Linked DNA regions of Yarrowia lipolytica. The protein of the gene in region 1 purifies or fractionates together with the protein of each later gene. This does not show direct contact. Links are inferred from orthologs where the notes say so. Each region holds a gene or a part of one and is shown on either strand. Other genes may lie near its edges. The genes, in order: YALI1_E04613g, YALI1_F37890g and YALI1_D09504g.

What was found.
Region 2: the proteins of YALI1_E04613g (region 1) and YALI1_F37890g purify together in Saccharomyces cerevisiae (affinity purification with mass spectrometry; 5 studies listed by BioGRID, with this or other methods). This does not show direct contact. The link is inferred for Yarrowia lipolytica from reciprocal best matches to the Saccharomyces cerevisiae genes TIF35 and HCR1.
Region 3: the proteins of YALI1_E04613g (region 1) and YALI1_D09504g purify together in Saccharomyces cerevisiae (affinity purification with mass spectrometry; 4 studies listed by BioGRID). This does not show direct contact. The link is inferred for Yarrowia lipolytica from reciprocal best matches to the Saccharomyces cerevisiae genes TIF35 and TIF5.

The regions. Positions count from the first base shown.
Region 1 is NC_090774.1:459,951-463,021, forward strand, and holds YALI1_E04613g (uncharacterized protein), read right to left. Parts: upstream 1,388-3,071; coding exon 503-1,387; downstream 1-502. Other genes in the region: YALI1_E04629g (uncharacterized protein), read left to right, coding at 3,048-3,071. UniProt on the Saccharomyces cerevisiae protein: RNA-binding component of the eukaryotic translation initiation factor 3 (eIF-3) complex, which is involved in protein synthesis of a specialized repertoire of mRNAs and, together with other initiation factors, stimulates binding of mRNA and methionyl-tRNAi to the 40S ribosome.
Region 2 is NC_090775.1:3,787,687-3,790,630, forward strand, and holds YALI1_F37890g (uncharacterized protein), read right to left. Parts: upstream 1,329-2,944; coding exon 600-1,328; downstream 1-599. Other genes in the region: YALI1_F37878g (uncharacterized protein), read right to left, coding at 1-114; YALI1_F37892g (uncharacterized protein), read left to right, coding at 1,562-2,854. UniProt on the Saccharomyces cerevisiae protein: Component of the eukaryotic translation initiation factor 3 (eIF-3) complex, which is involved in protein synthesis of a specialized repertoire of mRNAs and, together with other initiation factors, stimulates binding of mRNA and methionyl-tRNAi to the 40S ribosome.
Region 3 is NC_090773.1:948,369-952,155, reverse strand, and holds YALI1_D09504g (uncharacterized protein), read right to left. Parts: upstream 1,731-3,787; coding exon 573-1,730; downstream 1-572. Other genes in the region: YALI1_D09493g (uncharacterized protein), read right to left, coding at 2,373-2,825; YALI1_D09488g (uncharacterized protein), read left to right, coding at 3,281-3,787. UniProt on the Saccharomyces cerevisiae protein: Catalyzes the hydrolysis of GTP bound to the 40S ribosomal initiation complex (40S.mRNA.Met-tRNA[F].eIF-2.GTP) with the subsequent joining of a 60S ribosomal subunit resulting in the release of eIF-2 and the guanine nucleotide.

The DNA.
Region 1 (3,071 bases):
GTATGTACTGTACCTCTGGTATCCATCTGCTAACAATTATGGTATGTACACTGTACCGTATGCTACTGAGAGCTAGTGAGTAATCTCTCTCTCTGCGCTTGATCTAGAGAATTCTCGACTCTGACATAGTTACTCACTTAATGCATGACCGTCCTATACGGTATCTTACCTGAGTAGAAGTATACCAGTTGTCAGTCACAGTGTAAGTACACTATAGGTAGCTACTACTTGTACCAAGTATGTACCAAAATGTGTAGAGCTGCACCCTGTGCCTGTAACAGTTACAACCGAGGAGCTTCAATCCTTGAACTAATCTCTAAGCTTCAAGCTAGACCAACTTCAAATTACAGAAATGGCAACCACTTCTAATATCCACCATGCCATCTCGTTCCCACTCTACAACTACTCCCGCTCATATCATTCACCATGCAAACTGTATTAACAGAACTATTTTTACAACCGTAGCGGCCGTCTCCCCTTTTTGTGGCATCCTCCATCCACTCTAGTTTCTCTTCTTGGAGTAGTCGACCTTCATAATCAGGTTGTCGAAACCATGACCATCCATGGCCTCGAGAGCAGCCTGAGCGTGTGACTTGAGTGTGTAGGTAACAAAGGCAAAGCCTCGGGGTCGGCCGGTATCTCGGTCCTTGGCAACGTAGACTCGGTTGATCATACCGTACTTGCCGAACATTCGTCGCAGATCGTCGTCTGTGGCCTCCTCCGACAGGTTGGTAACTCGGAGAGTGAGCTCGTCGTCGTCGTCGCTTCGGCCACCAGCAGCACCGCCAGGACCACCAGGACCACCAGGACCCTTGTTTCGAAGATGAGGGGGAACGTAGCCTCCAGTCTTCGCAGCGCCAGCAGGCTCGTCTCCACCAAGAGATCGACCCATGCCTCCGGCAGCTGTGGATCCACCAAGAGTCTCCTTGTAAGGACACTTCGAGGTGAAATGGGGGCCCTGACAAAGTCGACACTTGACTCCCTTGTCCTCTCCGACACGAGGGGCGGCAGCAGCTGCCTCCTCCTCCTCAACCTCCTCCTCGGGCTGATCAGACTTAAGGCCAAGCACAAAGACGATATCTTCTCCAATGGTGGTGGTCATTCGGTTGGGACCAGGAGGAGCTCCAAGCTCCTTGCCGTACTTGGTCCATTTGGATCGCTCAGCAACACAGTTGAGCACCTTCTCTGTCACGCTCTGGTTCTTGATGGTGACGGACCGCTTGTACTTCTTGCCATCATCCATTCGATGAGTCACGATGGTCTTGGTGCCATCGGCGTTCTGTGTGATCTGGGGAGTAGAAAACTCGTCGTCGTCGGCCCACTTTTCGTCCATTGTGTTCTGTCGAAAGTCTTCTGAACCTGTGTCTTGATGATGGAAGGTCTGCATATTTTTCACCAACTAAGTTACCCTGGCTTTAGAGTTGTGAGAAGGGCTAACAGTACATAAGGGATATATTGGGTAAGTAGTGGGTATTATGGATGGCAGAGACTATTTTGACACTCGCATATGGGGTTTAACAACAACCCTTCTTTTGTTATATGAAAATTCATCTCAACAGTGGTTTTGGGCTAATTTTGCACCCATCTGAGATCTAGCTTCACGTGATTCGAACTTCTCCCAGCCTGCAATGTACGAGTTTTGTAGCAATGGTTGTGTGTTCGATTCCAGGTAGCGTCATATGCAAATGTAACACTGTCCAGCTATATACAGCAACTGTGGGGAAAATAAATGTCTTGGATACTTGTACCGGTACTTGTGATGCCGTAAATTATCTACAGGATTATGGCATATTTCTCCCGGCCCCTCGACGAGATCTATATGTAAAGTACAGTTCTCGTAGTTGTAAGACGAGATTGGTGATCTGAAGAGTAAACTGCGATCACCCCGTTGTACAGTATGTACAAGCACAGCCAGGACACCACGTGTAGGTTACTGTAGCTACATTACAGGAAGTACGTACCTACAGTTTGTCCAGCAGAAGAATGTCTCTTGTGTCATGTGAAGCAAAACGTCGGAAGTGAAGCAGTTCTAGAACTATTGCTGCCTCGATTTTGGGTCTACAGTAATTGGCGTAAATTCAAAAGTGAGGTAGGTACTGGATTATACCGCCCTTATAAATCGTCTCAAGTCAGATTTATGAAGTCTACTGCTCCGATATCGTCAGTTGACCCTCCGATCCACACGCATACCTGCACATGGACTGTTCTTGTGTGTCCAAGTAGCCTTTTGATGGATACGAGCAGCAAGGTTGGCAATCGATTGTGAGTCTAGAGGAGATAAGAATCCAAAGTTTGTTAAGCGAAGCAAGGTAACCACGTACGCAATGATCAGGGTGTGAGTGGGAGGAGTGGCTACTATATTACCTCCTAGGCCCTGGCGGGGACGGTTTTCTACTAAGAATCAGGGACGGGTTCAACGGCTGGGCTGTCTCAGAGCAAGGTCTCTGTTGCCTCCCCCGGTGATCATCATCAGCCTTGGGGAGAGGGAGTCGCGTGCAGAGGAACAATGGGCTGACTTGCCACGTGCACGAGAGGCTCCGACGTAACATACGGCACAGTACAAGAACCGATAATATCTACCCCGCTGCTGCCTTCTCCTCACCGCGGATTTAATTGCTGATACGGCAATATACTCGTACTGGAGGCTGCATGGTCCACTTTTTGTCTCTTACGGTGGGTACATCATTTTCTTAGAGAACCATCGGCACTAAATGGGAAGTCTAAGCTTCGGACAGCGAGAGGGTGACCATGGAGGGCTAGCAAAGAGTGATAAATAGTGCTGAAGATGTTACTTTCCTGTACATTTCGATAATGAACCAACAGACTGTTTATACTTAGAACGACACATGATCTGAGAACAAAAAACCGCACTGTGACGGCTGGAACTGCGGATGTGTTTTAGGTCTCAAAGTTGGAATTCCATCTGGACGCGCCGCACAAAACCAAGCGCCTTTTAGCTCTTGAGCTGAGCTAGTCTGGCATAAACTGTTTAGCTGCGCCCCGCTGGAACAGCTATACAAGACTTGCGAGACCCATAGGTCTGGACAATGGCAGCTATACGAGAATATGTG
Region 2 (2,944 bases), on another chromosome or scaffold:
AATGTATTTGTCGGCGAATTTGTTACATTTGGAGCATGCAGTGAGTCGAATGTTATCGGTTGAGTACTCCGTGTATAATGATGACACCGGTTCTGTACATTCTATACAGATCATGTTGTCTGATGTGTGAGACTGTAGGAGAGTTTTGGCGTGTTCTGCACTGCATGAAGTGTATCTGGGGTGTTAAGTGTGCAAGAGGAGGACACTCGTACTGGTGGTACAGTAGCTATAGGAAGATGAAGCAACCAGAATGAGGGAAAAGCGATATATATTGTGTCGCCAATGCAACTTCATTGTTACTATCCGGGCGACCCGTCATATTCTTGAAAAGTGTTCCTGCTCATACCAACGAGCTGTAGGCCCGTTCGTACAGTACAAGTCTACAGGCCATATTTCCATCTTGTTCGCACCAGACTACATAATATTAACTACATGACGTCTGAAGTACCATGGCATGGCAGGTCATCAAACATTACATTACACCACCTCTAACAAAGGTCCGTCTGCATATGCGTTAGAGACCCTTTGCCAAATGTAGCAATCAGGTCAAAAGCATACCGCAGCCACCCCAGTGGCACAAATCCGCATTCCGAGTCCACTTACATGAAATCGTCAAAATCATCGAAGTTGTCGTTGAAGGTAGAAGTATCCTTATCGTCATTGATCTTGGCGGAGGCAGCAGCAAGACCGGGCTTCTTCTTCTTACCTCGAGCAGCCTTCTCCTCTCGAATCTTCTCATTCTGGTAAGCGTTCAGGGTAGAGATGAGCTTTCGGAGCTGCTCGACCTTGAGGGGCTCAGCCAGAGCCTTGGTGAAGGTGATGGCAAAGTCGGGGTAGGCCAGTGGGCTGGTCTTGTTAAGGTCTGTGAGGATGGGGGCCAGAGTCTCCTTGAGGTTGGTGAAGTCCTTCTTCTCCTTGGGGTGGAAGATTGCCAGATCCGACAACTTCATGGGAGCGGCAGGGGCAGCGGGAGCAGGAGCGGCCTCAGCCTTTGCAGCGCTGTCAGCAATACCTCCAGTGCCACCAAACAGCTCAGAAGCGTTCATCATGTCGGAGTCGAGCTCGGCCTGTCGCTGTCGGTCTCGCTTGGTGGAAGCATCCTCAGGCTTGAGCTTCATGGCAGCCATCTCTCGCTCGATCTTGGCGATCTGCTGTCGCTGGGCCTTCTTGGGGGCAGCCACGGTGGTCTTGGGTCCGGGTGCCTTGGTGGGCTCCTCAGCATCCCAGGAGTCCATGACGTCCTCCTCTTCGTCGTCATCCCAGTTGGCGGGGACTGCGGGGGTGGCAGCGGCAGGCACCTCAAAGTCTTCGTCGTCCCAGCTGGCCATCTTTTTCAATACGTTGTGTCGTGAAGTTGTACTATTTCGGTAATGCAAAGGGTCAAATCAAAATTTCAAATCTTTAACTAGGGTACGGGTTTTCCCTTTTGCCATGTCCCAATTTCGTGTCCCATAACCTAGACTTAAAGGACCATTATCAGAACCTAATGCACGATATGGAAAGTGAGCCCATCCCGAGACATACGAGATCTCTCAACTAAACCACTCTACCACTACACGCAATGAACTGGATTAAGGAAGGAAAAGTGACGCTCACAAACACAGAGATTTTTGAGTCTCCTGGAAAGGGCAAAGGGCTCAGATTCACCAAAGACAATGTCTCCGGTATTGTTCTGAGAGTCCCCAATGATCTGCTCATTAACGCCGAACATGTATCCGCCTGGACCGAGGAGAACAAATACCTCACCGGAGAGCATTTGGAGTTTATGAAAGCGTCATTGGAATGGCTAAAATCTGAGAAAGATGTCATTGTGCTGTTCATGGCCCTGCTGGCTTCTCAGAGCTCATCTGGTATGAGCGATTATGTGTCTTCTCTGCCCAAAAGTACGGAGATGGACCAGCCCTGGTCTTGGCCCGAGACTGAGATCTTTGATAGTCTCAAGGGAACCTCTCTCCTCATGGCGTGTGTTCACAAGAAAATGCATGTGCAGGCAAAATATTTGGCAATTGTCGGCAAGAAAGGAGGAGAGAAACTAGTTTCAGAGCAACAGTTCTATTTATCCGAGCAATGGGTTGTGTCTCGAAGCCTGGAAATTCCTGAGTCTCCTGGATCTGAAACGCTGGCTCTGACCATGGTCCCTGTTCTTGATTACGTCAACCACTCACCCAAGGCAAATTGCCGATTTGAAGTAGACAGTGGAGAGGTGGTTTTAATTGTCAATGAAGATGTGCTAATTAAGGCTGGCGATGAGGTCTTTATCAACTACGGACCTGATAAGAGTGCCGCAGAGTTCCTTTTCTGCTATGGCTTCATTGATGCTGCTCACGGGGTCACCAAGAGCATTACCCTTGAGACTCCTCTCATGCTGTCTATGGATGAGATTGATCCCGAGTATCTCATCAAGAACCCCGACTGCGACGCCGAGCTCAAGAGCATGATTCTCAAGTTCCATAGCTACGGAGCTCGATCTAGACTCATCAAACTGGAGGCTCTGAATGACGGCGAAGACATCATTGCCAAGGTCGACTGTGACTGGTTGTGGATGCTTACCCTGCCCGTGGAAGATCTCAAGATCGACGAGACTACTGCAGCTGCTGAGTTCAAGGGAAAACCTCTCGTTCGAACCAAGACTGTTCGCGCACAGCTCAAACAGATTCTGGGAGATGATCTTAACGAATACATCACCCAGACCAGCAGCATGAAAGAGGACATCGGAGACTACGTCGGCCATCTGGTGAGAGAGGTGTTTATTCCCCAGCTCGATGTTGAGGCTAAAAGCAGTCACCCCATGGCCGAACGTCTCAGACAGATGGAAAAGTCCTTCCTCCAGTCTATTGATGACATTGAGGTTTAGTCGTTGCCTACATCGACAGTTCATTGTAAATAGAATTAAATTTGACATGTTGACTGATGGCAACCGTAAGTATCTATCCAGTGGCTGCTT
Region 3 (3,787 bases), on another chromosome or scaffold:
ACATAGAGTGGAGTGATGGAGTGATTGCGAGGCGTGATCCAGCCAACACATCTGTTGTATGTGTTGATGAGATGATGTCGATGTTGATATCGTCAGGAGACAATCTAAGACGGTTTTGGTACCCACAGATGTGTTGGAGCCGCCATTCCTCTAGTGTAACGAACTATACGAGTGTTTTTCACACGATCCAGTTGTTCACTCACCTCGTAACTGCCACTACAAGTGATTTGTGTGTCCACTCTACCATTTTCCCCATTCACTTACCGTTATTCACTCACCTAAGACAAGATCGGTAATGGTTGCAGTCTGCCTACTTCGACTCCCTGAATACTGTCAATCTCTCGCATACAGCTCGTTCGCTACTTATACCACTGGTAGTAGATGATGTCGCCCACTGTTACTCACAAGTCACTCTTATTTTATTTATACATACTGTCGTGCACTCGCCTAGGGCTAGTCACTGTTGGTTGTTGTCCGCTCGCAACTCGCCGACGGCTGGTTGCTCGCTTCCGTACATATGCTACATGCTTGAGGTCTATCCTCTATTTGTCAGTTGGCACCAAATGCACCGTTTACTCGTCATCACTGTCAGACTCCTCCTCAGCCTCATCGAGCCAGTCAATGAACGGCTTGGCAGCCTTTCGCACCTTCTTGGAGGTCTCCTTGTCGACGTATCGCTTGGACACCTTGGTTCCCCACTTCTTGGCCACCTCCTCGGACACGAGATCGAGCTCGTAGAGCTTGAAAAGGATCTTGGGCACGGCGGGGATGAGATCGGGGTGGGTAAGGCCAACGAGACGCTCAATACCACCAAGCAAGGCCTTTTCGTGCTCGTCGGAAGCCACAATCTTGGTCAGCAGACCTTTGTGCTCATCAATCTGCTTGACAATGTCCTTGTCGAAAATGACCTGGGGCAGAACCTGGACGGTCTTGGAATCGTCAGAAATACCCAGCTCAATGGCCTTCTTGTAGATCTCCACGTCGCTGGGTTCACCCTCGGAACACCACTCTCCAAAGATGGTGTAGGCATCGTTCTCCTCCAGGGCGATGCCGGCAACACCCTGCTCGACCTCTCGCTGTCGGGCAGCAACGGCCTCGGCAGAAGTGTCGACAGTCCAGGTATCGTCGTCGGCTCGGGTAGCGGCGGCGGGAAGCTCGGATGCCTCGGCGTTGATTCGCTTGGTCAGCTCGTCGTCAGAGGGTTCGCCGTCCTCGTTGTCGTCCACATCAGGGGCCTGAGCAGAGGTGTTGGAGGCAGCTCCAGCAGCACCCTTCTTACCCTTGGCTTGCGAGGGAGGGTTCTTGACGATGAAGGTGGCGAGTTTGTGTCGGATGTCCACGGGAGTTCGCTTACCACAGGCCTTACAGTCTCGGGTAATGTCTCCGTTCTTGGTGATGATGAGCTCAGTCTCGGGGTTCTTGCAGGCCTCACAGAGCACGAACCGGTTGATGAAACCGTCCAGAGTGTCCTGCAGAGAGGCAGCGTCGTGCTGACCATTGACCAGGTATCGGTCCTTGTCCTCGGAGATCTGGGTCTGGGCTCCAAGCTCGATACCAAAGTACTTAATGACGTAAGAAGGAGGTCGGTTAAGAGCTCGGGCAACGTCAGAACCGTTGATCACGGCAGTCTTGATACCGTTACCTCGACCCTCGATCTTGGAGGTGATGGCAGGCATCTTGTACCGGTAGAAGGGGTCGGGGTTATCTCGTCTGATGTTGATCATGGACATGGTGAAGTTGGTGGTGAAGTAGTTGTTTTTGTGTCGGGGTTTTTATCTAATGTACATTCACGTACACCGGCGGGTTTGTTTTTGGGGAATCGTGGGTTTGCGAGCTGCTGGCACGGTCGAATAATGCATAAGCAGAAAGTAGAACTACTGTGTGCAACGTGATGTGGGTCGCAAATTTTTATTTTGCATTTGCATCTTAAAGTGAACTTAGTAAGCGAAGGGAGGTGGAGCACGACACTGGAGTATAAATATATAGTCCATCGACCACCAGGATGTATGATTTATATCTTTAGAACAAATATTCAATCGAATATCGTCCAAAATCATTCATTTTCCTTCCAAATAGACTTTTTCACCCTGATTTGCCCAGACCCTAGAAATCTCACACCTTCCTAAAACTATGCATAGTCTCGATGAGGCAGCAAAGTGGCAATACAGGTACGGGCACAAGTACTCGAACTGCGCCAGTGTAGTATTGTACGGATATGATGCTAATCAGATAGGGTTGTCAGTGGCATATATAATCGCCTGTCTTGATTTTTGCTTGCTCTCAAACCTCCAAAAAGCACTGAGACACGAACCTCCATCCACGGACATGTTCTTGTTAAGCCTATCTTAACTAATTCAGCGTACATAAGTCAACTAAACCAGTGTGCAGACATCAGCCAAGCGGTGCTCAAATGTGCTCATTGTAGACATGAGACTGGGCTGGGCTCTGCGTTCATCAGATAGACGGTGGTGTGGATGGTCACGTGACCCGCGATATATATGACGTGACCGGAGATATCTATCACGGGAGTTCAAATTAGGGCAAGTACCGGTAAGAGGAGTACGAGTACGAGTTGGCACTGGTAGCTGTGTCGAAAGGTGATATACCCGATACAGTACTGTAACTGGTCTCTCATTGACATCCGGCTCCTCCAGTTTTAGTAATGTGCACAGGTAAACGAACGCACGATCTCGCCATGTACACCTCCCCTCTTTCTCTCTCTCAACGCTTACATAATCCACTCTTCTCCTCTGCTCACCCGAGACACCCAAACAATAGCCCTTTTCGACGGTTGGCCCTATACAGCAATTATGACCCACGTGCATTGCTCGTCTGAACTTTGCTTGGTGGTGAGCCAAATGGGTACAAGTGGTTATTTGTAAGCCGTGAGAAATATTTAAAGAGGAAAATTTGGTAAAAACGACACGGGGAACAAAATGAACTTTTCAGATTATCTGTGCGACCTTTGGGGCCCCTTCTGGTGCAACCGTGCTACGTCCTCTCACCACCACTTTTGCATTAACTTTAAGCTCAACATCTGGTCCTGCTTGGAGGAACACTGTCTTCAAGAAACGTCATCAAATCGGTTTGTACAGCTGTGCCAACCACACGATCGGTGTCCCGCCTTCGAGCACATACTTCCCATCCCGCCTGCTACCTTCTTCAACTCTTTTTTCGCCCATTTCCGCTGTTCAACGACGCAAAACATGTTGTAACACACCGTTGTTGCATCTGCCCCGCCCGACACAAGACCCGCTCAAAGACACAAATACACATACCAATGACCCTGGCCGACACTCTTGCGGCCGTGCACGACAACGCCGAGGCGATCCAGACGGTTTCTCTGGACACCCGGATCAAGGAGGAGGTGACTCAAGATGCCGAGGATTCTGGCGAGTTAGACAAGACGTCTGGTGAGATCCAGGAATCGCATGAGAAGGAGACCGAGGCGCAAATCAAGGCGCAGAAGGACGCCATGGACATGGCCAAGGCCGAAATTGACGTGGCCGAAGGCTCCGTGGACGACCAGGACGTGTCTGAACTGCAAAAGGTGCAGCGAGCTCTCCACCAGGCAAATCAGCCCGTGCGAATCACCCAGCAAAAAACCGGAGTCACGCTGCCGGCAATGAAACTGATGACGCCGCCAGACGGGGGTTGGGAGGTGCCCGAAAACTTCTCAATTGTGGTGGGCCAAATATACCGGTCGTCGTTCCCGCGGCCCGAGAACTTTGAATATCTCAAGCGGCTCAAGCTCAAGAGCATTCTCGTGCTTATTCCGGAAATCTAC